Caenorhabditis elegans: one gene and its partners. The protein of the gene in region 2 purifies or fractionates together with the protein of the main gene of each other region. This does not show direct contact. Each region holds a gene or a part of one and is shown on either strand. Other genes may lie near its edges.

Region 1 (8,652 bases), 5.0 Mb from region 2:
AGAAAAAATGAAGGAAAATCTAATATCACTGTCACTATTCGAGAATAAATTCATTTCGAAAATCGATCCCGTAAATCGGCACAAGAGCTACAGTAGTCATTTAAACAATTACTGTAGTTTTCGCTACAAGATATTTTGCGCGTCAAATATGTTGCAAAATACGCATTCTCAGAATTTTGTGTTATCGTAATATTTGAAGCGTAAAACTTTGTAAAATACTAATGTATGTGCGCCTTTAAAAAGTACTGTAATTTTACAGTACTCTTAAAATTGAAAATGCTGTGGAATTTTTATCGACTTTTCGTAGTTTTTTATCATGATTTGTTGAATAAAATTGATGTGCTTTCAATTTTTAATTCTTAATTTAAAAAACGATGAGAATTTCATGAAAATTCAGTACTAACGAAATTTTGAAATAACAGTACTCTTTAAAGGCACACACTCGTTTCTATTTTACAAAAAAGGGCGTGTCGAGACAGAGATCGCAAAATTGGCGTCTGGGTAATATTTTACTTGAAGTTTCTCTTTACAAATGTAGCATGAAATCATTGTTACCGAAGCTGGTGTAAAGATTCCTCCGATCTCCTTCGCAACATCGGCTCCTTTTGACTGTGGAAGATCAAGAATAGCGACCTGTGCACCAGCCTTTGCCAAAACTTCGGCAGCACCCTTTCCCAGTCCAGACGCTCCGCCAGTGACGAGAGCAACGAGACCCTGAGAAGATAGAACGTAGGGTTTTCAGATAACACTTTCAATTTTGGAGCAAGTATTCAACCTTTTCAAGCTCTTAAACTCACCTTAGTGCTTCTGAGTGCCGACATTTGTTCCCGTTTACCTAAATCATAAGTGTGTTTGATTAAACATTCAAAATCTCGAACTAAGACGGAAAGTATTTAATAAAAGAAATCGCAACGAAATTCGAAAATAATTCTTGATAACAAAAGCATATTTCTCTCGAAATGTTTATAAAATTAAATTTTTCTTTAAAATAGTTGACGAATAGTATGGATTAAAAGTGGAATATGGGTTAAATACAATGCTTAATGCTTTTGTTTCAGGGATTTTTTCCTGCAAACGTGTAGCTTGCGACAGAAAAGAGAAGTAGAGATAAACAGTAAAAAAGCGATGAGAGATAACTGTGAAGCAGGAGAGATAAGAATGGGGGAACGAGGTGGGACATATTTATGGTGACAGCTCAAAAAATCAGAAATCATAGAACATGAAGAATACACAAACAGAGAATAAATGTTTATGGGGACATGAAAATATTTGGAGCAGACTAGTTTTGATCACTCGTCGTCTTCTTCTTCCTCATCCTCGTTCGAGAAGCGGCGAGTTGGACGAGACTTTCGACGGCTTGATGCTGGTTCCTGGAAATTAAATATTAGACTTAAAGACATTAAAAAAGTTCAAGTAACCTTCTTTTGTCCAATGATCTCCTCTTCTTCATCTTCTTCCATTGGGTCTTCACTATCTTCCGATTCCTTCTTCTTTTTCGGTGGTGGTGCACTTGCAGACGATGTTGATGGTTCATCATCTTTCTTAGCTTCCTCGGTCTTTACAGAAGACGAAGTTTCTTTTTTCTCGTCCTTTTTGGGGGTTACTTTAGTTGAAGCTTGTGCACGTTGAGCTAGCATAGCCGACTGCATATATTGAAGCATTAGGGCTTGATTTCCACCGGTCTGTGTCATCAATGCCTGTTGAAACTGCTGAGCCTGTGCGGGTGGAAGTGATTGCATATGTGTCATAAGCATTAACATTTGCTGAGCAGTTGCCTGTTGTGTCCGCTGAAGATCTGACACACTTGGAGTGCCACTGGTTGAGGGACGAGAAGATGAAGTTGATGGGGTTGAAGGTTCTTTCTTCTTGACTGGTTCTTCTACTGGCTTCGGTGGATTCATAAACTGAAAAAGTAATGTAAACTTCGAAATTTCAAAAATCAATCATACCTTATCGTATTGTTCCTTCCACAATTTTCCGATTGTTTCAGAGCTAACATAAATCTCACTGCCTTCTTCGTTGTATGTTTGAGCATTGTTCACAAGCAAATTCATATCATCATTCAATTCTTCCATAACCGTATAACGTCCTGTTTCGATCTTTTTGTTGATTCGATCGAAATCCATTGGTTTGGAAATCACTTGATAATAGTCCGGCAGTTCTTTACGAGTTGGAAGTGTCTGGAATACATCCGCGATGAGTTCTCCATCCTCATTTTTATATTCTAGAATAACATCAAGCATTTCATTGATTTTTTCTGCCAATTCTGGATCCGTCTTCTTCTTCTTGTGTTGTAGAACAACGTCATCCATAGAATCATCATTCTCGTCCAATCCAGCCATTTTACGTTTTCTTTGCTTTTTACGTTCAGCCACAGCTTGATTATTTTCATCCTCAACTTCCTCAACTTGTTTCATGAACTGTTCATCGGACAAAAGATCGGAAGAGTAGTCGACCTGAAAATGAATTAATATTGTAAATTCTCTTATATATTCCTTACCTCTCTTCTGCGTCTTCTCTGATTAGGAGTTTGATCAACAACTTCACGACCTTCCTCTCTGGCTCGTTCCATTTCCTCATAATCGAATGACAATTTGAGAATATCGTCTGGAATTTCATGTTCTTCTAGAAGACGGGGTTTACGGTGAAGTTGATTAGCTTCTTCACGACGACGATCAATATCCATCGATTGGAAGATATTAAATTCTTCCTCTGAGCGAGCAACCATCTGATTCACAGTTTCATCATCTGGAACTTCCTCTTCTTCTTCCTCTTCTCCGTCTGCTTGAATAATTTGTTCGAGCATTTGCTTTCTTTCAGCTCCAGTTGAACGTTGATCGAACTTTCCTGCTTGAATAACTTTCTCGTCGACATTCAACTTGTAGCGAGCAGCGGCAAGAATTTTCTCTTCAACAGAGTTAGCTGTGATGAGACGAAGAACTCGAACTTCTTTCTTTTGTCCGATACGATGTGCACGATCTTGAGCCTGCATATCCTGATGAGGATTCCAATCCGAATCAAAGATAATAACAGTATCAGCAGTTTGCAAATTGAGTCCAAGACCTCCAGCTCTTGTAGAAAGCATGAAAAGGAACAAATCACTGTTAGGAGCATTAAACTGTGTCAGCAGATCTCCACGCTCGTCTGGTTTAGTTGAACCGTCTAAACGGAGGTACGTGTATCTTCGGAAATTCAAAAAGTCTTCGAAAATGTTCATCATAGACGTCATCTGGAAGAACATCAGAATTCGATGACCTGTTGCCTTTAGTTTCGGTAGAATACGATCGAGAAGTTCCAACTTTCCAGCAACACGCATTAGATCGGTTCCATTGACTTCGTTGACCTTCCAGTATGCACGGCAGGAATCTTCAATATTAGGGAAAAGGAACGGGTGATTGCAAAGCTTGCGAAGATGCACGACAGTGTTCATCAACGAACGTGCTCCAGATGACATTTTAGCGTCGAGAAGCAATCCTTTCTGCATATGACGATAAATAACCTTTTGCAAAGCAGACTGGTCACACTTGATGACATACTCGGTCTTGTCAGGAAGCTGTGATTCTACTTCCTTTTTGAGACGTCTCAGCAAGAATGGACGAAGAACCTTGTGCAGTCTTCTGATGATGAGCATCGTCTCTTCTTGATTCAGTTCTACTTTCTCTCCTGTAGTCGCAAATGGAGCATTGAACCATTGTTCGAAAGTTCCACAAGATGAGAAGATCGATGGAAGTAAGAAGTTCAGCAGAGCCCATAGCTCAGGAAGTTTGTTCTGAAGTGGAGTACCAGTAAGAAGTAAACGATGCTGAGCATGGAAGAATCCGTTCAACATCAATGTCAATTTACAATTGTGATTCTTCAAACGATGTCCTTCGTCGATTATCATATACTTCCAACGGATTTTACCAAGCAGTGCTTTCTCTTTGATCACATATTCATATGTTGTCATCAAAACGTTGAACGCTCCTTTTCTGATTTGTCCTTCAACACGACGACGAGCATCTTTAGTTCCTTTATAGATGATAGTGGTTACAGATGGAGCCCATTTAGCAAATTCGTTCTGCCAATTGGACAACGTGGAGAGCGGTACGATGACAAGATATGGTCCATTGTTTTGTTTGACTTCCATCAAATACGTCACCAACGAGATTGTCTGAAAATTAAAAATTGATTAATATTTCCTCATTTCCCAAATTCCTACCTGAATAGTTTTTCCTAGACCCATTTCGTCGGCGAGGATACCGTTCAGATTGTTGTTGTATAAGGAGACCATCCATTCCAATCCCTTAATCTGATACGGTTTCAGCAGAAGATTCGGATCACCACCACCCATCGTTGTGTGTTGCTTGACAACCTTTTCTTTGATTTTGTGAGCAGTTGCATAGTAATCAGCCATTTGCTTTTTCGTTTTCTGATCATATTCATCCTCTTCGTTACGTGCCTTCTCGAGGATCATCTTAGCTTTTGTCTCTTCATCCATTCCAGCGTACTGATCATCCTTCTCTTCTTCTGGTTCCACTGGAGCCTCTTCCTCTTCCTCTTCTTCGTCATCACTAAGCTGATCACGTGGAACTATCTCATATTCTGGATGAGTTTCAAGCCAAAACTCAATTTCTTCAGTCTTTGGAGCTTGATCTCCAGTAAGCGCTTTTCCAGTGCTTCTCTCCCGAACGTGAACCCTGGCTTCCTCATCCATTTGATTTCCTTTTTCAATTTTCTTATCTTCCTTCTTCTTTTTCTTTTCGGTATTTTGATGTTGACGAACAAGTGAGCACAGAGAGTCGACGTACTCATCGGTTTGTTGAAGAAGATACACAAGACGTTGATCTTTCTTCTCATCAAGAAGAGCACGATATCCTTCTTCATCTTCTTGCATCAGTTTTTGCATACGAAGTTTTTCATTTCGAATCTCGTCCTTCTTGCGTTCACGTTCATTGTTTTGATGATATGTCATGACTGCCTTGCGAGACTTTGCCATTTTCAGAAGATTGTTTCTGAAAATAATTTAATTAGTAGGAGAACTTTCTAAATACAATCTCACCTATGATACTCCTTGAATTCCTTTCCATGCTGAATGATAGCTTGCATCAAATCAGTATGCTTCTGCCTTCTCTTTCTTTCTTGCTCCATCTTTTGTTGCTTCTCAAGCTTTTCGGTAACACGAGCTTCGCGTAAAGATTGCCGCTTTGTGCGTCGATACGCATATGGATTGAGTGCAGTTTCGAGAGTTGTGTCTCTTTTGAGACAAGCCATCACTTCACTGCGCACCTAAAAACAGCTTATTGGTTAAAATACTCTTCGAATCCAGAAATTACCTGAGTTTGGAGATTGACAAGACGTAAAGCACGCAATTCGATTTCTGCTTTCAATTTCATGTGATCTGGAATGTCGGCGGGTAAGTTATTGAGTAGCTTCATGCGTAGCCCGATTCTGTTTTGAATCATATTTTCTCTTTGCTTGAGCATGCCAACAGGATCAATTCCTGATGGAACAGAAATTGTTGTTGGACGATTACAGCGTATTTGATGGAGATTGAAAATCTGTAAAAAAGTAGACTGTATAGTTTCATTCGATCCATTTTACCTACCTTCATCAAATCATACGGCAACTTTTCTCCATTCTCTGCCTCTCCTGGATATTCATAAGGTTCAGGCAACAAAGTTGTAACTTTTGGTCGGAGCATGACAGCATCCGCAATCAAGTTGGCCGGTACTTGTTCATTTCGAGCCAAAAGACGATAGGCTGACACTTGAGCCCTCAGTTGATTGAGTTGTGCTGGGGTAATTTGTTGATTCCCGCCATTTTCCTGTCCTGGAACGGCGTCTGGGAGACCAGATTGGAGTTTTTGCTTCAAAAGAACTGCTTTGGCGTGTCGATGGTCATTCTGAAGACCTTGTTCCTCCATTGAAGTTATCGCATTTTCCAGTTTGGAAATTGTCAGCTCTTGGCCTTGAGCTCCATCACCAGCTTGCTGAGCAACAACTTCACCGGCTGGTTGCGGTGGTTGAGCAGTAAACTGCTCAAACGCCGGCCTTCCGCTCATTCTTCAAAATTCCAGCAATTTGATACACTATCTTCTTTCAAATTGATAGTCTGAAACAATTATTAATTCAGAATTTTAGATTCAATTGAACATTCAAGATAAACAAAAAGTATTGCGGTAATAGTATATAAGCGAATTTCAGAAGAAGCCTGCGTGAATAATAAAACCGAGGACAATATATAGACTTTCCATCCATCCTAGTGCAAAAAGAGTAGGACTGATGGAACCGAGAAATAGCGTGCAAGTGAAAGAGAGATGTAGTGTATTGCAGGACACAACTTTCGGCGCGCATTCAAAATTTCTAGCGCATATAAAACACGGAGAACTCTTCGGGGGCCCTTTGTGAGCTAGTGAGATAAGAAAAGCTAAGAAAAAACTAAAAGATTGACGATTTCTAAAGATTGTGAAAAAATCGATAAGTAGTGACGTGTACGAATCGACTTTTCATGAATCCTGAGAGGTTTTTTCGTTTTCCAACGACGTATAAGTGTATACTGATAACTAGTATCGCTTGATATCGTGAAATTCGTCTGAAAACCGAGAAAATCCATGAAAAATGGTCTAAATTGTGTGTTAGACTAAGCAGCTGGGGAAGAAGAAGGTTTGAATGTATGCAGTGGACGCGCCGAGCGTCGATTGGCCAGAGAGGCAAAGTGAGGAGAAACACTATTGGAAATGGAGAGACGCAGACACTCTGCATGTCTGCCTGCATTGGAAACGGGCCATTGCGGCGGAGAGGACAAATGAATGGGAAAAGAGACAAGAAAAGAAGGAATAGTGGAAAATACAAGAAGACTACGGTAGATATAGACCATATCAGAGCTTCATTATGACTATTTGAATAAAGTATTTGAAGGAAATTTAATATAGCAAAAATATTTCAGCGCAACAACATTTAATGCTAGTTTAAGAAAAAAATGAATACTATACATAAATTTTATATTCTATAAAAATCTTCTTCGACTGCGACGAAATGAATGGTGCAGTCATTCGCTTCAAAATTGCATTTAAGCTGTGGTTTTTCGGCAGGGATTGAGAAAAACCGAGTTATATTTAAGAAATGCATTTTAAAATATTTTTTGAAGAAAAATGTCAATTTAAGAATATAGAAAAGAAGATCGAACATTGAGACTCGTCGGCGCCGAGTATTAAAAATCTGACGAAAATTACAGTACTACTCCGATTCGCTGCGGGACCCGTGCTTTATTTTCACGTATGGTCCTTTCGATTATTGACTTTTTGTATCTTGCAGCTGGAGCCTTATTAGCTTGCGTCCAAGTTTTATCAAAGTTTTATTCCATTTTATCTGTATTTTTGTTCTACTAATTAGTTTAAAGCATGTATGAATATTCTTTCAACCCAAATATCGATCATGAGCCCGGATCTGTAAGCTTAATATTGCTGATTCAAATCTAATTTTGCAATTTTCAGGTAGAATCTCAACAATCCACTATTTATTCGGATTCTGATGATTCTGATGACAGTTTTCTTGACGATGAAGTAATACCACCGAAGGAACAAGCTATGAGAAAAATTGAATTCGCTCTTGCAGATATTAAAAGGCAAATGGATAACAAAGAGAAATCGTTGACTTTGAGAATGTAATAAGTTCCTGTTGAAAATGTTTGAGTAATTTTGTTTTTTTTTTCAGATCGACTAGTAAATCACATTTTTGCCTTCGTTATACAGCAAAGAGGAAAGGAAAATTGGATAGAGATTTGCACTGTCTTCACCAAGTTTATGATTTGCTCGAAAATGACAAAAGATCAACGAAAAGAGAATTGTATTATGAACATAAAGCAGTTTATGGAAACCAGAAATATTTAGACAGTTCAATAAAATCAATTTGTGAGCTTTTGAATGAAAGTCGGGCTAATTTAAACATTGTCAGTGTGACATTAATAAACAAGAAATAATTTCCAAATTTCAGCTCTCTTGTGGACGCGGGATAATTCGTGGAGCAATTACTTTTTTAGTTGAGAATGTTGGTGTAATTGATGCGAGAGTTCAAGAAGTTTTGATCACAGGTAAGGTAATAAAAAACATTTAAAAATGATCAACGCTGGTGTTTCAGATGCACTGTTATTTTCGAATATAATATCAGAAGCCGATTTCATACTTGTTGTTGAGAAAGACACAACTTTTCAAAAATTAATGGATGAAAATTTTCAAGCAATGTTTCCACGTGGGATTCTAGCAACTTCGAAAGGATATCCGGATATTGCAACTCGAAATGTTCTGAAAATGTTGAGTGAAAAAAGAAAATTTCCAATATACGGACTGTTTGACGCTGATCCGCATGGTGAATTTTTAATAAAGGATTTAAAAAATAACTATATTAAAAATAGTAATACTTAAATTCAATTAAGGTATTGAAATCTACTTGACTTACAAATATGGACCTACGAAAGAATTTGCCGAAGGCCGAGGAGCCTTTGTTCCAACGATTGAATGGATCGGGTAAGACGATTTTATATTTATTTTCATAATTTCAACAAATTTCCAGTCTTTTCCCAACTGATTTTCATCGTTTCACCATCGATCAATCACAATGTCTTCCATTGGTTCGAACTGATTTTGTGAAAATTGAGAAGATGATTCCTCGATCGATT
Region 2 (6,868 bases):
AACGCATTGAACACACTTTTGGTTAAGCAGCACGAGAATATTCTGAATAATAATAATAATAATGAAAGTAATATTTTGAATGGAAGTGTGATGCATAAGGATGCTGGGTTCGAGATTCCAGGTACAGGAAACCTTTTATAAAAATAAAGAAACTTCCCATTTTTCAGCTCCAACAATTCCACTCAGCTTAACATGTATGATCTGCAAATCTCAATTCAATAGTCAACCATCCTTTACACTTCACATGTACATGCACCATATTGCGAATCAAAATCCAAATTTATCGATTGATTCCACCCATATCCATCATACTCATCAACCTACAACAATCAGCCATCAAAATGATCCAACTCCTCTTGGATCGGACTCTGATCTAGCCACTGATACATCATGTGCTTCAAGTCCTCAAAAGACATCACCACTTCAGCTTCTCGAGTCATCATGTCTCGAACAAAGCTCAGTGAGCCCGTCGAGTTCTTCTGGAGCTTCACCTCAACCAACTGCTTCGGAATCTTCAACGTCTTCGTGTAAAGACTGTACGAATAGTTGGCAGAGAGTTCATGATTTGGAGCAGCAAATGGTGAAGAAGGATGAGGAGTTTGAGAATTATAAGCAAATGACTAAACAGGTTGGTTTTTGCAAAGTTTTTTGAATTACCTGATTTTAAAAAAATCGATTTTGTTTGGTTAAAAAATCTTGCGACTTTTTTGAAACAAAAAACTTTAAAATATGTATATTATGAGAACGTATGTACATAGAAAAAGGTTTGACATCAGAAGATTTTTTTGAAATCGAGAAGAAAACGCGCTCCATGGCCAGTTGTAAAAGCTCCGCCCCCGAACTATTGGTCTCGTTAGGTACATATTTGGCGATAAAACCGTATTTTTAGTCAATTTTAAAGTTTTCATTTGTTTTAAAAAGTTCGTTATTCTGGGTTTACGGGAAAATAGCCAACGAGACCCATCGTTTGGGGGGATTAGCGGTTGAGCGCGTTTACACGTCGATTTCAAAAATGGATGTTTTCTGCGTCTCAATAATATATTTAAAACGTTCCCAGAATTTTTTTAACCGACCAAACTTCTGGAAAATCTTTAAAATAGTCCGACAAATTATTGTCTTGCAAACTTTTGCAAAGAAATTAAACTGGAGAGAAGAAAGTTAATAGCAATTTTTGAAAAAAACGGTGCGGCACGCTTGCAAATTTCATGCCAGACTTGCGGAAAATATTTCAAAATTTCCACTGTTTCAACGAATGTATATTTCAGATCATCGCAAATGTTTCCAATTTCTTGACAAATACAGCAACACCGGATAATATGTTCATGATGAATGCAGTAAATGTATTCACTCATCTTAAAAATACTCTCTAGGCAATTAATTTTCACCGATTTTCTTTTTTTTTTCTCATATTTCTCTCACCACGTGGTTTCTGATCTTGTCTCTCGCCTGGCTTTTCCCAATTTAACTTTAATTTTAAAAAATTAAATCTCTCTGATAATCAATATTTCTGACCTCTTTTTCATGATAATCCCTTTTTATTTTTCGATTGAATTATTTTTTGAAATACCAACCAAAAAATCAAAAAACGCGTATTAAATCATAATTATTTGTATAAAACCGTGCCTTTTTCCCACCATTTTCTATGTAACCCTCGACCTAAATCGGGTCTTATTTATTGAGATTCATTTTTTTGAACGAAAATAAAAGCTAACTTATTTTCATATTTTATATTCTTTGAGTTTAATTAAAATTAAAATACAAAAGCATTTACTAGTACACAAATCATCGTCGGGAATAAAAATGAACAGAGTTCTTCAGATCGATATCAAAAAATTGTGCGTAGAAGGAGAAAAAGACGAAGAAGTGAAAGATCATAAAAATGCGGTGAGGTCTACAAAAAAACAAGAGTTCTCTTCGAGTTCGGAAAATGGGATTATGAATGAGAAACATAATAAATTAATAAATATTTGGAGAAAATTTGAAGAGTATGGTACAAATTTGACATGAAAATGCAGCAGGATGGAGGTAAAAAGATCAAAGACGGCACTTATAATTACTTTCGTGTGCTCGGAGATTCGTGAGTGAGTCTCTCGATATCGTTGAAGAACACGGCAGTGCCACCGGAAACTGTTGGAATTACATTTCCCTGAAAAATTCGAGATGAGCAACAGATGAGAAAGTGGAACACAAAAATAAATGTATTTTTAAAGTTATATGACCTAAAACATTACATGAAAAACTGAAATTAAATGCATATAGAACTAGCACTAAATTAGTTAATTTTAAGCATGAAATTTTAACTCAAAAAGTATATATCAAGCAAATTCAGGCAGTTTTCTCAAGCACTACTAAAACAGTATCTAAAATAGCCAATAAACAATCAAAAACATACAACAAACACATAAAAATGTAAAAAGAGCAGCTTCATCTTCTCATTCCCCCAGCAAACATTCATTTCAAATAATTCTCATTCATCTTCTTCTTCAACATCATGATTAGAGTATATCGTTATCGATTTTACATCCGTACACGGTGAATACGAACTGCTTTGCGAGTCTTCCAGTTGAAGTTCTGGTGGTTTAGATGGTGCCTGTTAGAATGCGTTACGTGTGTGCTTTGTGAGAAGAAAAGACGGACAGTTTTGTATCAGGAAAGATGGGTGATAAGGACACGGGAAAACGACAACGGGACGGTACAGGCGTGTTTTTGGGTGGAAACCAAGGAATTTACCTTCACTATATTCGTGCTAATGTTTCCTTCATCGTCAACTTCTTGATGCGTGAGACGGTATTCTCCGGATTTGTTCAACTGATGCATCTGGAAAACAATTGAATTACAATAAAATTGCGGAATTTATTAATGTTTTTTCCTACCTCAGGTTTAGTAGTCCGTATGGCGTTAGCCGGTGTACGAGACTGAAGAACCGTTCCTGTTGGAACTCGATGAAGTGGCTGATGATCCAATAGACGAGATGCAGACTTGGATCTTCTTTGATATTTTGGATTAACGTAACCCTGTTGACCACTTCCTCCACTTGAAGATCCAGACATTACAGTGGTCGATGTAGTGGCTTCTAACCGTTTTTTGAAGACTGGAGCACGTCCTGGAGTTTGATATGGCGGTGGTGGAGTTTGGATTGGAGCTGTTGGATGAGCCACATTCTCTTGATCAAATCGTGATCGAAGAGAAGCAACAGACGGGGATGGATTATCAATAATTCCACGAACATTTCTCATCGCCTTCTTCTGTGACTGAATAATCTTCCTGTCCTCCATTTTTTGTTCCATAAGCTTTTCCATAACCAGAGCATTCTCTTGCTCTCCTTGCTCACACGAGGCAATTCGTTCCTTCATCGAAGCGTTCTCACGCTTATATCTTGAGCAGAAACCTCGAAGCTTCTTGATTTCTTCATCCTTGTCGTTTAGAGAATCTTTGAGACGTGCAATCTCTACTCGCTGGTAGTCTGCTTCCATCATGTATTGGCGAATCATAGTAAGAAGAGTTGAAGATGGTCCCTCTTCTGATGAATTTTGAAGAGATGAAAGTTTCCGAGCATACTTATACATGGAATCTACCGTATCTTTGTCATTGCAATCCTGGAAACAATTTGTTCAAAACCATTCAATTTGTGAAATTCTTACTGTCAAACAGAATGTCGGTGGGCACGGAATTTCTCTACTTCCATCATCCTCCATACGAACAGATCCATCTAGCTCAGAATTCCATTGGGTGAAGAATGAATGAGGAATCCGCTCGGATGGCATTCGTTCAACTTGCTTTTTCACTTCAATTGTTTGTGATTCTTCAGCGAAAGCTAGAGCACTCTGAAAGTTACGAATTTAAATAATTAGTAAATTCTTTGAATTCTGAACGAACCATGTTTTCATCGTAATCATCAGGCTTTGGATTCACACAAATAACCATTCTGATTTTTCCATTTCCTTCCAGATAGTTTTTGAATAAATGAGTCAATTTTGACTGGCGATATGGAACTTGCTCAAGGTTTTGTGAGGAACTCTTTTGGTTACGACGGAGTACTTCAATACACTGACGAAGAGTCATGAGGGACTGATTGATCGAGTTGGCTTCCGCAAGACGTTCACCAACATTCTGTGTGCGCTTTGCTCTAAAATTTTTCTCATTAAACATATATATTTCAGTTTACAACAAAAAAACAAACCTCTCAGATCCAGCCAAATCTACCAAACATAACTGCGAAACGATAATTTGCGATGAGTCCATTGTTGGATACACGCTTTTCGTCTCGTAGGCTCTCGGAGCCATAACCAATTTGATAGTGAATACGGAATGAGAACGGGATGAATCTTTGTTGAGAAGAGTGGACGATACACGACGACGTTCTTCTCCAAGGCAGAACACTTCGAGAGCTTCCTCGCTTGACGAGACTTCAACATCTTTGGCTCCGTCGACGTACATCTGTTGCTGACGATCATGACGAATTTCACGCTTCGTCAATACTCTGGAACTAGCGGAGGGTCACTATCAATTATTGCTCGATTTTTCTTACCCATTTCTGGCGTCTTCCAACAAATCGTAGCAATAATTGTTGTAGATTTCGACGTAGGTTACGAAAACCGAGCAAACCATATCGTCGTTGTAGCCTGACAGCTTTATAGCTTCACAGTAACGATCAGTGATTTCGCGTGATGTGGAAAGACGGTCTGCAGCCATTTGATGGCGTTTCAAGTGAGCATCCAATGTGGCACGGATCTCGAATGTATTCAGTGCTGATGGATAGAAGATGCATTTCTCAACTCTGGAAGAAAATAATATTATTTGCTTTTTTCGTTTCAAAAGCTTACCGATTATTAATACTATTGAAAATTACATCCAATGTACGCGGCAGTAGTCCTGTGCCGGTTTCAGTGGGTTTTCCCGTCATTGTATACGTTTTTCCAGATCCAGTAACTCCATAAGTGAATAACAACGAATTCTGACCTTTCAATAGGTTTAAAATTAAATCAACAGATGTCCGCTCAAAAACAGTAGCTTGTCCATCATTTTCCGAAAAAACTCGTCCAAATCTAAACACTTTCTCAACTTGTGGAGCGTTTTCGCGTCTGAACTGTGCTGGTGGAAGAACAGTTTGAATAGATCCCTCATCAATTGCAATAAGACTTGGAGTCGAGCCAGTATATGGACAAAGACGACAAACGACTTCGATACTGTCGGTTTCTTCAATCGATAACTTCTTCCGGCGGACTTGGTCTCGCGATGGAGTTATTCCTCGTTTACGCGACGACATTTTCTGAAATGAATTGAATTAAATAAAACAAGTTTTGTTATATTGATTTACAAAAACGGTTTTATTCCAAAAAACCGTGAAAAAATAACAAATTTCGAAGAAAAATCAACAAAAACAAGTCAAAGCAAACATGTGAGAACGGTTAGAATTCAAACTGGCGGCGGAGGGGGAGGGTGCGCAGTGAGACCAGCCACGCAGATAAATCTATGCGCCTTTAATACCTATGTCTGCGTCTCTCACACAAGGCAGCGAGAGTGGTACTCTTGTAATATTGCGGTGGCACTCGCTAGCTCGCGTTTTGTCCGCCGCCACCGTGTGCTATGGGCCTTCCTTCAGTGCGGGGAGTTGAGACTGTAATGGGTTCCGAAAGGATGAAAATCCTCAAAGTTCCTGATGTGGCCGCATCAAAGCACAGGTCGGATATGATTGTAGTGAGATATAATAAAAATCATTTAAAGACATAAAAATAAACACATAATACATAGGAAGATTAATAAAAAACATACGAATAAGTTACAAACAAGGAAATTAATTATCATCTGTAAAAGTTGAGGTGCCAATATAAGATTCGTTTTGCTAATTTTTAATAGAACTTTATATTCTTTTTGTGAAAAAGTGTCTTCGTAGTTTGGTTTTGTATTTCCCCCAGATTAACTTGGTTTTGGTTCTGGTTTTGTAGTTTTTGTCTATTTTTAAAAATTGGTCAGTGTCAATGTCAACTTTGTGTACTCTATCTCTATCAATTTTTAAGAGCCAAATGTACACAATAAGTTCTGCTGATTTCATAGTGAATAAATTTCTAGAAAAAAAAAACATGATATACCACAGTGCCAGTAGCCCAACAGTACAAAGAAAACATGTGAAGTTCACTAGAATATTCTACATTTGTTTACTTCTAGAATTATAATACTATAAAAATTAATTTTCAAGTCGTAGTAAAAAATCATTAGTAAAAGATAAAACGTAGTAAAAGAGCCAATTGTAGTACAAGATCAAGTAGTAAAACAGTATTTGCCAAAAAATTCAAATAACAGAAAAAGGGCATCCTTGGTGTTCAATCCAAGCGAGCAATGAATTCGGAGCAGTTCTGAATTTGGAAAAAATGTGCCAATTTGTTGAAAAATAATTCTTTCCACAGCAATTTCGAAGTTTATTTTTTAAAACCGTCCTTAAAAATCTCAGTGTTTTCCATTTCAGACTCAAGATTCCGTTTCAGATAAATCACGTCATGACGTATCTGAAAAGAGAAGGGCGACACATTAAGATTCAAAAATCGTCTGAATTCTTGCACTCGCATTAAATTATTTATAAGCTTCTTATATCTCTGATCATCAATCAAATGGGGTTCCCAGGATTTTAATTCTTGATTCGTTTTTTTTTTGCGAGGAGCAATGAGTGGGCGCAGCCGAATCGGGGAAGCCAAATTGTTGAAGATGCTCCCCAAATTATGAAACGTTTAAACAGGATTAAACATTCTATTACGGGCACACTAAATTCTGAGAATGCGTATTGAGCAACATATCTTACGCGCAAAATGTCTTGTAGCGAAAACTACAGTAATTTTTTTAAATGTCGATTTACGGGCGGAAAGTTCGAAACAAA
Region 3 (5,693 bases), on a different chromosome or scaffold from region 2:
TTCTATGCATATAAAATACGAAGAGTCATGCCTAAAAAAGAATGGAAGGGTTTGGAAAGAAAATATGGAAAATAAAATGAAAGTGGAGACGATTTTGAATGTCAAGACTCTTCTTCTACTTTTTCTTTTGAGTGCTTATGTATGAGATAAGTGATTTTTTAATATTTCACGAGTCTATTCTCTAATTGTAAGCCCCCAATTGCATGACTATTTATTAAAATGGTGCAAATAATATTGTTTTCTAAATCCATAAAAGTAGAATCCATTCTTCGAAAACTACACCGATTGGTAGTACTAGCACATTCAATTATAGATACGACGGGAGGAAAAGCGAGAGGCCTGAAAGGGAAGGAGAAATTGCGAATTAACTGAATTTTTCCTTTTTTTCTCAATCTGATTTTGACGGGAAAGAATATTCACAAATTGAACAAAATAAAGATCAGAATTTGCAGACTTGAAAAATCTTTTGAAAAAATTATCTATAACTTTTTCGTGTAATAGAGAAGTACGGTAAGCGTGAGACCCTTGGTTGACTTTAGCAGTTGTATCCCACTTGATCAAAAATATCAGTAGTAAATTTACAAAAGCTATAATGGAAAATCATCGAATACGCATTTTTCAGTAGGTAAGGATTCGTTAAAATGAAATACGATCTAATATATAATATCAATGTTCTGTTTCGAAATTTGAATTAGCTGTTGGCATTTTAAAAGAATCAAATGTATTGATATCTGTTGATGTAGCATGTTATTGGAACCTAGGTCGGTAATTTTTTGAAACAGTGACCTAAGTTACACTTTTCAAGAACAATGCTTTCTTAACTTCATTTCGCCATACAAATGTTCACTTTGCGTAAATAGTCAAACTCAAGCGGTATGTCCTCTAACAGAATGTAACTTTTTTGGTCTAAAAAGTGTGTCATATAATCAAAAGCTGATATGTTCTAATCTTCTACTTAATCTTTAGCCTGAAAGATATAAGCATGTGTAACGTAAGTCAATGTTGCAGTTTTTGAAGGAATATTCAAAAAACAGGTGGAATTTAGAAGCTCTTTTAGCATATGAAAAGTTATTGGTTCGAGTACTTTTGCACCAGGGGTGTGCGGCAAATCTCAAAATTTGCCGAGCTCGGCAAATTCGGCAAATCTACTTTTTTGAAATTTGCCGTGCTCGGCAAATTCGGCAAATTTGCCGAGCTCGGCAAACGGCAAATTCGGCAAATTCGGCAAATTTGCCGCACACCCCTGTTTTGCACCCTTACTAATAATTAATGATGGGAAAACTGAAAAACTCCATACTTCCATATTCTGAATGTGTCTATAAAAATTGCTAATAAGTCTATAACAAAAAAGAGAACGAGACATAAACACAGAAAGTTTGCAAAAATGAGCATACGAGTCTACTTCTTGTGCTCGGGGGGCTCCAAGCAAAAGCTCTCCCAGAAGACGTTTGTCTTCTCCTTTCGTCCTCGTTTTCTTTCCCCCTTCTTCTTCGTTTTCTCAAAGAGGAGGCGAATAGAGCGAGGAATAAGCGAAACGACGACTGCTGAGGACTATGTGCTCTGTCAGAATCGATAGAGAAACGGGAGAAAAAGAAGGGAAATGCCGCGGCGTCAGGGACGTGGAGAAGACGTATTACGAATTGCCGGGGTCCCTCTTTGTCGATTCTGTGCACTATGCACTCCTTCCGCTTTGGTGAACATTACGAACAATTCTTGAAACCGTTTTTTTTCTTTTTAGGAACAGTATAAAAATAGGAATCGAACAACAAATTGGGCAAAATGGGGGATCTATCGGAACGAAATAACAAGATCCTCAACATGTGGGGAAACAACTGAGGAAAGATCGAGAGGAATGAGATAAGTTGTAGAAGAAGAAAAATAATTTTAAAAAACAAGAAATGAATTGGCGAAAAATCAAAATTGGAAAACCGAGTCGTTGTGCGGATATGAATGGATATCACTTCTTATTTTTAGGTTGTCGCATCTCTTCTTCGGCCTTTTTCAACGACTCCCCACGATCCATGAACAATTTGGTACAACGGTCCACGTCCTCTACCTGAATAGCGATTTATTTAATACATGAACTACAACATTCTGCAACTTACTTCAATGACCTCTCTTCCACACGTTTGAGCACAAAGACGAGCTGGAGCAATCAATTGTAACGCATATCTCAATGATTTTTCAGCTCCAACTTTACTTAGAAGATCAAATGCTTTTTCTTCGAATTGAACATTTTCAGCTTCGGTACGATGAACGAGAATCTTCCGGATGTCTTCTTCGTTATACTTCATCGTTGGAATAATCATCAGCCGATCGAGCATTTCTGGAGGAATTCCATGTGGTGCCTTATCGCCGAGTCCACGAACTGTTGTGGTTCCACGGTTAGTTGCAAAAACCACGACGGGTGCCATTGGGGACTCGAGCGCGCGATAGAGATAGGTAAAACATTCTACGTCAAGCATATGAACCTCGTCGATGAAAAGAACACCAGGCATTAGTTCAGCCACTCCACTTTCAATGTATTCGTTGACTACTTTGTTGATTTCAGAACGAAGACGATCTAAAAGACAGAATAAAAATTGAAAGGTTCGAGTTTTAATGTTTATCAATCACTCACCAGTAACTTCAGTTTTCTTTGGAGTCATCAGCTGTGAAACAATGTTACTAACATCTCCTTGACGTCCTTGTGGACGGGCATTTGCGATATCCAGATCATGCAAAGACACGTTTTGAACAATATCTTTAGACTTTCTAACATCTCCTTTCGGCATTGGCACAAACTCGTCAGCCTCGAGGTCAAACTCAGATGCATATACATCACACCGTCCAACTCGTTTAACGATTCCTGAGTTCGCTTCAATATAGATGACATCACCAACTTCTACTCGTTGCTTCAAAATCGAGTCATAGATGCTTGGATCCAATTTCAGTTGCTTGCTTCCTTTTGCTGTTTTCAAAGAAAGGACAAGATGAGAGATGGTTTTTCCCATTCCGGAATTATCTGAAGCTTCGACGGGGCTCAACTCTGTAACTTCTCCCTCGTACACATCTTTGGTTTCCTTAACACGCAGACCAATAGCTCTTCTGAAACTTCTCATGAGCACTTCCGTTTTCTTTACTTCATTGGAAAAGACCTCGCTTGCAACAAGTGGCACAAATGGAACGCCGTCACCCAACTCCTGTGACATTGCAAGCGCGATTGCAGTTTTTCCAGTGGCGGGTGGTCCAGCAATCAATACAGCTCGTCCGGCCATACACTTCAATCGAATCATATCAACTACAATTGATGCAGCTGTTCTGGCGGGTGCTTGGCCAACGAATCCAGCAGCCTGTAGAAATAATATTTTATTTAGCATAGGCTTTATTTCATAAGTAGTTATTGAAATTGGACAATTGAAAAAGAAACCTCATAGTGAGCTTCTTGTGTTTCTGTGTCAATTCCGAGTCCCTTGACGTGACTGTGAGCCGCAATGCGTTTAATTTGCTTTGGAGTTGGTTTTACCTGAAAAATTCGATTTAAAATACTAGGTTTTTCAAAAATTAGCTCACTTCTTCGATTGGTGCAAGTCTTGAAGAAGAAGTACCAGATATTGCCTCATCGACTTCCATATCCATTATTTTACGAAAGCGTCAGCGTGAAAATAGAATGAAAAATAGAAATTTAGGGAAAGAAAATAAAATTCGAAAATGTGTGCAGCCATCTCATTTTACGCACAAATGCAGACAAACAGCAATGGAAGGAGACCCGAAGAACTCGGGGGATGTCCAACTGGGGGGATTACCAACTCGGGGGATTGGCCCCGCCCACAGAACCGTGGCTTGCATTACGCCCATTTCTGCAACTGCCGCACGGTTTTAAAACTGTATTTTTCTCAATAGAGCGAGAATTAACAAGAAAAAATAATTTTAAAACCGTGCGGCAGTTGCAGAAATGGGCGTATTGCAAGCCACGGTTCTGTGGGCGGGGCCAATCCCCCGAGTTGGTAATCCCCCCAGTTGGACATCCCCCGAGTTCTTCGGGTCTCAATGGAAGGGAAAGAGGAAAAAGAGATAATATTCTTATTTGAAGTAAATGTCAAATATAAGCCGAGAGTAACTTTTCTAAATAAAATGAATTTGCGAAAGTTGTATAATCACCAATAGAGATCCCAAGAAATTAAAAATGGCATTCCATTCGGGAACCTGTTAATGTAAAATAGCAATGTACCTTTAAAGTACGGTAGCACAACTTTGAGACAATTATCTGGAATTTGTCCCAAATCCTGCTCCCTCGACAATCCTTCGAAATCGAATATTCTGTCTCAGTTATTTTTGGAACAATGGCTGCGCTTTTTGAAGAGAATGATTCTTATTCGGTGAGTTTCTGGATTAACAAGAATAAAGTATAATTCAAGAATTTTAGGATTCCGAAAATGAAGAAGATTTTAGCGGCTTTTTGAGTGAAATCGAAGAAAATGAAAACGAGGATGAATTTGAAAACGACGATGAGTTTGAAGACGATGATGAGCTTGAAAATGTGGATGAACTTGAAGATGACGAATTATCCTCTGAAGAAGTGGACATCCCTTCCGAAAATGAAGTAATTGTCGAGCTTCACGATGGTCAAGGTGAGCAGTTTTATAGTTTTTTGCTCTTTTTCTGTAACAAAATATTTTCCAGCCGAAGTGGAGGAATCACTTCTTGATGCTCTTCTTGGAAAAGCATTGGCAGGAGATCAGATGAATTCTCGAATTGAAGGACTCTTCGAAGACTTGGACTCTTCAGTTGAACCTGATATCATCGATCGCAGCGAGTTAGAGGATGTGGACAGTGGTATTAGTGTTGGAGCTGTTAGTTCTTCCTCTGCAGAAACTCAAGCTTCTGATGCGAAATGCAAAAATAAGGATGCTTTCGACATGTCTTCACTTAAGAAGTATATGCAGTACATCACCGAAGAAGAGCATGCCGTATCAGTAGAAGATATTCCAGATTTTGCTTCCAAAAAGTAGGTCTTGAAGCTTTTCTGAATATTTTCTATTTCAACTCTTCATCCTTCCAGAAATGTGTATGGAACCAGCTTCAACGTTCGCAACGGAATCATGTCTCGTCCACCTCGTTTCGAATTTGCTCGTCACGATCAACGCTGGATCGATTCATGTGTATCCATGGCATACGAGAAAGACAAGACATTGAAAGAATTGATCACACTGGGAAAGTTGACAACAACTGTCAAGGCTGGAGCCAAAATTGAATTCAGAACCAAATTCACGGATGTTCATATTCGAAGTGCGGATGAAATTAACTTGATGGAGACACATGACATCCAACAGATAATCCGTGATGCATTGAATTCAAAGCGTCTCGCCGTGGTTCTCTTTGGTATTGGGAAAGACGGAAAAGTTACTGGATGCCACATGGGTCCTGGTCAACAAGATAATCTGCGTCTTGCTCTGGATACTGCTGTTCAAACCGAGTTTGCACCTCCAATTGAGAATATTCTCGACGTAGTTGACATGAACTTCGTTCCAGTTGAAGAAATGGATGAGACGTTTCTGATTGTCATTCGAGTGAAACAACTCCGTAATCAAGTCTATCGTTTAGAATCATCTGTTTGAAGTTGTTAATCTTCTGTTTTTGTTTTGTTCGTTGTTTCGCTTAATATCGCCTCCATTATATCTGTATCATGAAGTTTTGTACCAATTTCTGATTGT
Region 4 (7,720 bases), on a different chromosome or scaffold from region 2:
GAGAAGAACCTGACGCTCGATCACATTTTGAAGCCAGTGGAAGTCAGCGTGATCTCCTCCGAAGGCAATGAGAACATTATCATTGACCTTGTATTGACGAGAAACATTCTGGAAACAAATATTATGAAAATCCACTTTCAGCTGAACGGAAATTCAAACCTTGTAACGAGCCATTTTTCCATAGGAAACAACTCGATCAGTAAGGACAACAACCCCAGTTTTATACTGGAGAGCGATAACCGATGTTCCGGTACAAGTAGGATTCCTGAAAAATTGAGTTAATTCAAACGAATATAGGTTTAATGACTTACAGTGTGCGCTGGACTTCGTCGTGAGCATTCATTTTGGTTCTGAAACAATATAAATGAAGTTTTTGAAGGGAGTGCTTTGAAAAAATGAAAGGAAGTGAATTTCGACAATGAAATGCAAAAATGGCGGCTAAGTCATCATAAAGCATGTGCGCTCCGTCGAATTTTACACTGAATACCACGCACAATTGCGTACTTCAATAAGAAAAATTATCTCGCGCTACTTTTTTTGAGATAATATTATAATATAAATTAATTCATATTTTATAAATATATTAATTCATATTTTATTCTTTTGAATTCTCACTGAAATTGTGAAACTATTTAAAATATAAATTGTTTCAGAAAAATGACCTCGGAGCTTAAAAATAACGAAGAAGACTACAACTCATCGTCCGATGAAGATTACGATCCAACAAAGGATACCGATTTTGATCCAAAGGATGAAGTAAGCATTCCTAGATATCGCCCTTTTATTGCTCATTCTCCTCAACAGATCGATGATCAAGAAGAATGCGAAGATGGAATTGACGAAGAAGTTGAACATCTGAAAAATGAAAAACAAAGTGACGACCATACATCAGAAAAGGCAAACAGTACTGAAGGAAGTGTTGATGTGGATGCGATATTTGCAGAATTAACTGGGCTAGCACCGAAACCAGTTGTCAACGATACATCAAGCAAGAATATTCCAAAAACTGAAGAAAGGGTGTATCCAAAATCAGCAGCGTATGTTTGAAACAAGTAGAAATAACTTTTAAAAATGTATTTTACAGATCTGCATCCAACGAGTCTACAAATCAGAAGGTTTATCCGAAAAAGTGAGTTGACATGAGTTTTTATTTGATACAAATTTAAAAACAACTTTTTCTTATTTTTCTAATAATTTTTTTCAGAACGGAAACAGCTGGAACATCGTCTGAAAGTAGCATTGTACCCGGAAAGAAAAGAGTCGGCTTGCTTGATGCTGCAAAATCACTGTCGAAGCGTTCTAAAATTTCTGTTTTGGAGAAATCTGATCGAGATTGGAAAGATTTTACGACGCAAAATAATTTAAAAGTATGTTTCTTTAAGTTTAAGGTTTTTGAATAAATTGTTTGTTTTTCAGGAAGATTTGGAATCTCATAACCGAGGGAAAGGCGGTTATCTGAACAAAATGGACTTCTTAAACCGAGCTGATAATCGCCAGTTTGAAAAAGAACGAGCGTTCCGTGCAACAGCTCGTAAGGACACTGGACAGTAAATAATTCTTTATTTTTTCAATTGAATCTTTTTTGTGATTTTCTGGTTTCTTTGACAATTCGTAACTTTGAAAAATTCATAAACCTTCTGTAAAGATACGGACATTGAAATTTAATCATGAACATATTTAATGGACAAAAACGAGAAAAATGGTAAAGGGAGACAATAACTAAATCTAGAAAAAGGATGAATCATGAAAAGGGAATTGTAGAAAAATCACATTCTAAAATAATTAAAATGAAATACAACAACTTTGGGAAAAGGTAGGTTACAGTTTTATAATACGAACTCGTTTGTTTTTAAGGACTTTTTGTGGAATTTTTGCGAATTGTTTCAGAACAAAAAAAAATCTGCTACTTGTTTTTAAAACTGGGATTCATGAGGAAAAATAGATAATGGAAAATAAGGAAAAATTAAGATTTGCTGGGCTTGAGGGGAACATGATGAAGACATGAAGTAGAGAGCACATAGTGGGATGTGGAGAGAGAAAGAGCTAGAAGGAAGCGAGAATTGTTTTTCTGATCATTGTGTTAATTTTACAAAAAAATGGATAGGAGATTGTGTTGATTCGATGATGACTTATGATGTTGATGATGGTAACGGCAAACAGAGAAAGAAAAGAACAGGAAAAAAGCGGATAAAGCATGAATTTTGAAGCACACAGAACAATTGAAAGAACAAGATATACTGGAAGATAGAAAGCTAAAACTAGAGAAATTATGACGAGATGATGTAGAAAGGTAATCAGATAATGATTGCAAATTGAGATTTTTTAAAAATTACAATGAATGGGTAGGCTGCATCAATTAGGTACAACTATTCTTCTAAATCGAGCTCATCATACAGATCTTCATCTTCATCAGAGAAATAGACCTGAAAGAAAAATGTGTTATTTTAAAATTAAATTTGTATTATTTTCAAACCACCGAAACACTTTTTATTTGCATACCTGGTTATTGATAACTCCAGAATTTCTATAATTGCTGTCATCAAAGCGTTCGCGTTTGATTGGTGGTCTAAAAAATTATTTTATTTTTACATTGAAGCCAGAATTTTACAAATTTTTACCCTCTGTTAACAGGTGCCTTTCGTTTCCTCTTCTTCTGAGCAGCGACATTTCCTTTGGCTCGTTCGAGACATCGGAATTCTAGAACAATTGGATAGATCTTTGAGAGTACTTCGAGAACATCGGCTTCCGATTGAGCTCCAGTGACTGTAATTGAGCCAGTCGTATGAATTCGAAGAGTAGCTTTTGGTGTCACAGATCTCCAAACAAGACCAACGGAAAGTTCAGGCTCATATGTGGATTCTGATGGATATTTTGCTGCGACTTCTTCGATTTTGATTCCGAATGGAAGACGGCACGTGGCCAGAACGTTGTTCACCTAAATTCCACATAAACTTAATAATTAGATAAATATTTTAAAGTTGCAAAATTTTATGGTATTGACAAACACACAAAAACGGTATCGCGCGTGGTGTCAGAATGTCCCATCACAGTCTGATCTACAAAAAATGAAACGTGACGTAGAGTTTCCAACTGGTGTCGCACGGTTAAGAATGTGCTGACGTCACACTTTTCTGAGCAAAAATACCCGCACTTATTGTAGATCACACCGTGATGGGACAACCTGACTCTACGTGGTATCGTAATTTTTTTTTTCAAATTTTGAAATGGCTCTTTAAAGGCTCACGACTTTCTTCAGATGGGTCTCGACGCGCAAAAAGTTTATTGTAGTCTTTTTCTTCAATGTTTGCGTTTTTCAATGAAACTGCACGGTTTTCAGCTTTAAAAAAAAATTCTGTTAAAAAATCTGTTTCCAAATGGGGGCACCACGGTTTCAAGATCTGGTGGATTCCGGTTCTACGTTTTCCAGATCTGGCACCAAAACGTAGATCCGGAACCCCACCAGATCTTGAAACCGTGGTGCCTCTCCAAATGTTCAAACTTCAAAAAAAAAAGAAAGATTACCATAAACATTTTGCGTGCCGAGACCTTTCTGAATAAATCCGTGCGCCTTTAAAAAGGCATGTAAAAATCTGGTGAAACTACGATACACGGTCAAATAATTTTAGTACACTAGTTTGCACGACTGACATTTTTACACTTTTCTTCAATTTAATTTAAATTTACAAGTAATAACTTTAACAAAAATGAAACATCTTTAAAAGAAAAAAAAACAAATCGGAAATGGCGGAAGCTACTGTACTTCTTGAAGGCGAACTTTTTTTAAATATTTTTTTTTTAATAGATAAATTTTTTTAATAGATAAATTGAAACTTTTCAAAACTTGCTCGATAATTTCTAATCGAAACTCGTTCTTTCGTTTTTCCCATAACTCGCTGAACATGTCTGGCAATTGAACGTGCAGCTCGTTTACAATCCGCCTCACTCCGGCAACCAACAATATATACTTTTCCAGAACTATATACTTTGATATAACAACCAGGCGATCTTTTTTGTTTCATCATTACTCCTTTTTCTCTTTCATATGTCACGTTATGAGTGTTCATTGCCAATTTTCGAAGATCAATGTGCAAAGGGAGTGTATAATTACAAACAACATTTCGAATCTGGAATATTTTCAAGTTTTGATGATTGATTGCTGTTAGAAAGTACCTGAATATCGATATCACCATCATCTGGCATTGGTTCCTCATTGGCAGCCGATGTACCTTCTGGAGGAACATCTGGAACCTCAATTTTGACAGGAATCTGAAAAATGTAGATATGAAACATGAAAATGTACATTCATCTGTTACCGGCTCAGGTGAGGGTTCTCTCAGTGGCACTGCCAAATTCATGTCACGCGGCACATAAATCTGCGGATGTGGCTGCTGAGCATGGTGTTGGGCCATCTGATGACGTGTCATTTGTGGTTGAACCATTTGATGTTGCTGATTATGGTGCATTTGTGGTTGACGATGTTGCATAATCATTTGATTTTGTTGAGAAGGATGATTAAAATGTTGTGGTTGCTGGTGGTGTTGTTGTTGATTCTGTAATATCCTCTGATTAATTTTGGTGAATATATCTGAACCAGCCGTGGACCGCACCTACGGCGCGGCCCCCGACTTTTTTGAGAAAACACATTAGATATACGGTGTCTATCGCGGACCTCGATCGATGTCTGTTGCGCATTTAGCATAAGGTTTCCCAAAATTTCGTTGCTCTGATCAGAGATCAAACTACATAGGGACAGAAGGACACGCGCTTTATATATAGTAAATGATAGTAAATGATAATCATGAAACATACCTGTTGTTGTTGTCGATGTTGTGCTTGCGCATAGCTTATCTGTTGTTGTCCTTGCTGATTTTGTGCCATAAATACAGCTCGATTTTGTTGTTGAATTTGATTTGCTACTTGCTGTCCTGGAATTAAATTTAAAACTCTTTTCAGTTTTTCAAACAAGAATGTCTTATACAACACGTAATGTGAGACCCAACACACGAGTTTGAAATTTTCCAGAATTATTTTGATTGTTTTCGATTTTTTTTTGTTTGCAAAAACAGTGAAAATTTAATCAATATTTAATTTTTCCTTTTGGAAAATATGTGAAACTTCAATCGTTCAAAAATCAGAAATCGAGTTATTCGAAATGTAAATGTAGAGTTAATTTGTGTCTAGAATATTATTCCAATAAAACAATTAATTATTGCAGAAACATATACGCGATTCTAGATATACGTAGTACTTGTATTCTATTGATAAAACACACGGCATCCGGAGACCGTAAATAAATTGAAATAAAACCGATTTAAAAAAAAAAATATTTTGTTTTGAATAACATCAATTAAATATTGACTATCAATTTTCTAAATAAAATTAAAAACTTACTCTGATAACCTTGTTGAACGTTATGTCCTTGCACAGGTCGCATTTGAACACCAACTGCAACATTTCGACCCGCTATCGTTCCCTGCAATTTCTTTTGAAAAATTAAAATAGTTTCGTGAATTTGAAATTTTGTTTCAATTCTTAGAATTTGTTATGTTGATTGAGAAACTGATAATAAAGACTTACTGGATGTCCAAAGTTTACTTGCATTGGTTGACCACCAGGAACTTGGCGAACATAGGCAGGACCGACACCATTTTGCTGAATCTGACGTACTCCCGGGGGTAGTTGAACTATCTGAAATAAACTTTAATTCATAAATTCAAGCATATGTCTTGTCTCGAACAAAATTTGATTATATTCTTCAAAATCTCACCCTCTGCTGTCCGTTTCCGTCGTGATGAACCGTTCGAATTCCTGCCGTTTGCACATACGTGGCATTTTGTGATACTGCACCACCAGCTTGTGCAGGCATCACTTTTTGAACGTAAGTTCTGTAATATCTTTCGAGTGTTGTTATTGGATTTCTTGATCCAAATAACTAAAACTGAACAAGCTATTTTTTAATTCAACTCATACCTCTGGTTTCCCATCATTTGATGATCACCCATTTGCATTTGAACTGATCGGCCTGTAAATTTGAGTTGTTATCTTTTGAAAACTCGACAAATGCTAAAATCTGCAACAACGAGAGAGCGAGACTTCGTGAGAACATAAGAATTTTTTGATTTATGTTAGAAAATTCTGGAAAAGTTAAGAAATATTTATTTCCGACGACCAGTTTATTTTAAATTCAGACAAAATAATATCCAAAATACAATATTCGGTTTGTTCATTCTAAACTGATTTGAGGCAAACGCGGTTACAGGATCGATTGAAAGCGTTATTCGCTGCCAAACCAGAGTATCCTCTCTGAATGTGCATTCCTCCTAGTTATTTGTCTGTTAGACATGTGGCATTTATTGATTAGTTAATTTATTGATTTTTCAGTCTTAACGCTGTGTTCTTTGGGAAGAAGAAGTGACGTTCGGCGAGAATTTGCCACAAGAAAAAGTGCTAGAAAACGAAGACCGACGAAGATGTCGTGATATTTGGTGTTTAGTACGTGGGTGCAGTGTTTGCGGACTTCCTTACCGTACACTTCAATTTTAATTTTCGTTTTTCTGGACATCGATTTTCCTGGCATAAAGACTGAGTAGTATTCGCTGTAGTAACTGAAAAATGACGTAAGTTGGAAATTTGCACTATAAATAAATCAGAAAATCCCTATTGCAGATTAATGATTGATGAAAACTTCAAAAAACAATTGGCACAGCGTCGAGAGAGAGTAGAAGACCTTTTCTACTTTGAAAATTCAAAAGAAATCGGCAGAGGAACATATGGATTAGTTTATAAAGCAGTTCCGAAAAAGCAAAATGGACAATTTCCTAACAAAGAATACGCATTAAAAATGATTGAGGGACAAGGATTTTCAATGTCTGCATGCAGAGAAATTGCTCTATTCAGAGAATTAAGGTAATTTCACCGATTAAATAATATTAATTTAAAATGAAGATTGAATTCGAGATTTTCCCCTTTTTATAATCTAAAATTCGAAAAAAAAACTGAAGTAGATATTCAAAAAAAAAAAATGTTTCAGGCATCCGAATTTAATCTGTCTTCAACGTGTATTTCTTACCAACGAAAAAAAAGTCTGGCTTTTATTGGATTATGCTGAACACGATCTCTGGCACGTTATCAAACATCATCGAACAGCTAAAAGCAAGAAAGTCCCAATTATGGTGCCACGGAATATGGTCAAAAATATATTGTTTCAAATTTTATCAGGTTTGAAATTCTAAAATCCAATTTCACTCAACTGTATTTTAAAATATTCAGGAATGCATTATTTACATTCAAACTGGGTACTACATCGAGATCTCAAACCAGCAAATATTCTATTAATGGGTGATGGACCACCTGACATGAGAGGAAGGTTTGACTGAATTTGAAATTTATGCGATAATATGAAATAATAATTCTAGGGTAAAAATTGCTGATTTGGGATTTTCAAGAATCTATGCAAATCCTCTGAAACCGATGGCTGAATTAGATCCAGTAGTTGTCACATTCTGGTACAGAGCACCTGAATTGCTTCTCGGAGCAAAGCATTATACAAAGGTACGTTGAAAAATCTATTTAATAAGGAAAAAATGCATAATCTCAGGCTATTGACGTATGGGCTATCGGATGCATTTTTGCCGAACTTCTTACCGCTGAACCATTATTTTTCTGTAAAGAGGAAGACATCAAGGCACAAAATCCATATCACTATGATCAAGTGAAAAGG

What was found.
Region 1: the proteins of zen-4 (region 2) and swsn-4 purify together in Caenorhabditis elegans (affinity purification with mass spectrometry, with the first as the bait; one large-scale study listed by BioGRID). This does not show direct contact.
Region 3: the proteins of zen-4 (region 2) and ruvb-1 purify together in Caenorhabditis elegans (affinity purification with mass spectrometry, with the first as the bait; one large-scale study listed by BioGRID). This does not show direct contact.
Region 4: the proteins of zen-4 (region 2) and tlf-1 purify together in Caenorhabditis elegans (affinity purification with mass spectrometry, with the first as the bait; one large-scale study listed by BioGRID). This does not show direct contact.

The regions. Positions count from the first base shown.
Region 1 is NC_003282.8:11,123,462-11,132,113, reverse strand, and holds swsn-4 (SWI/SNF chromatin remodeling complex core catalytic subunit swsn-4), read right to left. Parts: upstream 6,091-8,652; 5' UTR 6,041-6,090; coding exon 5,585-6,040; intron 5,538-5,584; coding exon 5,313-5,537; intron 5,266-5,312; coding exon 5,039-5,265; intron 4,992-5,038; coding exon 4,199-4,991; intron 4,151-4,198; coding exon 2,501-4,150; intron 2,457-2,500; coding exon 1,950-2,456; intron 1,905-1,949; coding exon 1,419-1,904; intron 1,371-1,418; coding exon 1,290-1,370; 3' UTR 952-1,289; downstream 1-951. Other genes in the region: ard-1 (3-hydroxyacyl-CoA dehydrogenase type-2), read right to left, coding at 556-714, 798-821; Meiotic recombination protein spo-11, read left to right, coding at 7,379-7,426, 7,472-7,641, 7,692-7,926, 7,971-8,067, 8,115-8,342, 8,410-8,500, 8,547-8,652.
Region 2 is NC_003282.8:6,116,622-6,123,489, reverse strand, and holds zen-4 (Kinesin-like protein), read right to left. Parts: upstream 5,276-6,868; 5' UTR 5,267-5,275; coding exon 4,824-5,266; intron 4,778-4,823; coding exon 4,529-4,777; intron 4,487-4,528; coding exon 4,181-4,486; intron 4,127-4,180; coding exon 3,877-4,126; intron 3,825-3,876; coding exon 3,642-3,824; intron 3,597-3,641; coding exon 2,874-3,596; intron 2,818-2,873; coding exon 2,731-2,817; coding exon of another isoform or gene 2,647-2,730; exon of another isoform or gene 2,591-2,646; coding exon 2,468-2,590; 3' UTR 2,393-2,467; exon of another isoform or gene 2,147-2,392; coding exon of another isoform or gene 2,054-2,146; 3' UTR 1,713-2,053; downstream 1-1,712. Other genes in the region: M03D4.4 (C2H2-type domain-containing protein), read left to right, coding at 1-121, 168-628, 1,266-1,370.
Region 3 is NC_003283.11:9,977,079-9,982,771, forward strand, and holds ruvb-1 (RuvB-like 1), read right to left. Parts: upstream 3,725-5,693; 5' UTR 3,619-3,724; coding exon 3,553-3,618; intron 3,506-3,552; coding exon 3,410-3,505; intron 3,333-3,409; coding exon 2,621-3,332; intron 2,564-2,620; coding exon 2,106-2,563; intron 2,057-2,105; coding exon 1,958-2,056; 3' UTR 1,713-1,957; downstream 1-1,712. Other genes in the region: tofu-1 (Schlafen-like protein 1), read left to right, coding at 4,323-4,358, 4,406-4,610, 4,663-4,987, 5,042-5,597. UniProt on the Caenorhabditis elegans protein: Possesses single-stranded DNA-stimulated ATPase and ATP dependent DNA helicase (3' to 5') activity suggesting a role in nuclear processes such as recombination and transcription.
Region 4 is NC_003279.8:8,695,950-8,703,669, forward strand, and holds tlf-1 (TATA box-binding protein-like 1), read right to left. Parts: upstream 6,025-7,720; 5' UTR 6,009-6,024; coding exon 5,971-6,008; intron 5,895-5,970; coding exon 5,768-5,894; intron 5,689-5,767; coding exon 5,578-5,688; intron 5,474-5,577; coding exon 5,392-5,473; intron 4,926-5,391; coding exon 4,810-4,925; intron 4,551-4,809; coding exon 4,314-4,550; intron 4,267-4,313; coding exon 4,171-4,266; intron 4,125-4,170; coding exon 3,846-4,124; intron 2,936-3,845; coding exon 2,619-2,935; intron 2,567-2,618; coding exon 2,500-2,566; intron 2,424-2,499; coding exon 2,367-2,423; 3' UTR 1,713-2,366; downstream 1-1,712. Other genes in the region: pbs-7 (Proteasome subunit beta), read right to left, coding at 1-108, 160-265, 312-343; F39H11.1 (Craniofacial development protein 1), read left to right, coding at 658-756, 805-1,037, 1,085-1,129, 1,205-1,367, 1,417-1,551; cdk-8 (Cyclin-dependent kinase 8), read left to right, coding at 6,613-6,617, 6,667-6,906, 7,031-7,218, 7,270-7,366, 7,416-7,551, 7,598-7,719. UniProt on the Caenorhabditis elegans protein: May be a general transcription factor. Plays an essential role for RNA polymerase II/ama-1 transcription in early embryos whereby it activates a subset of RNA polymerase II promoters and facilitates the reestablishment of transcription after mitosis.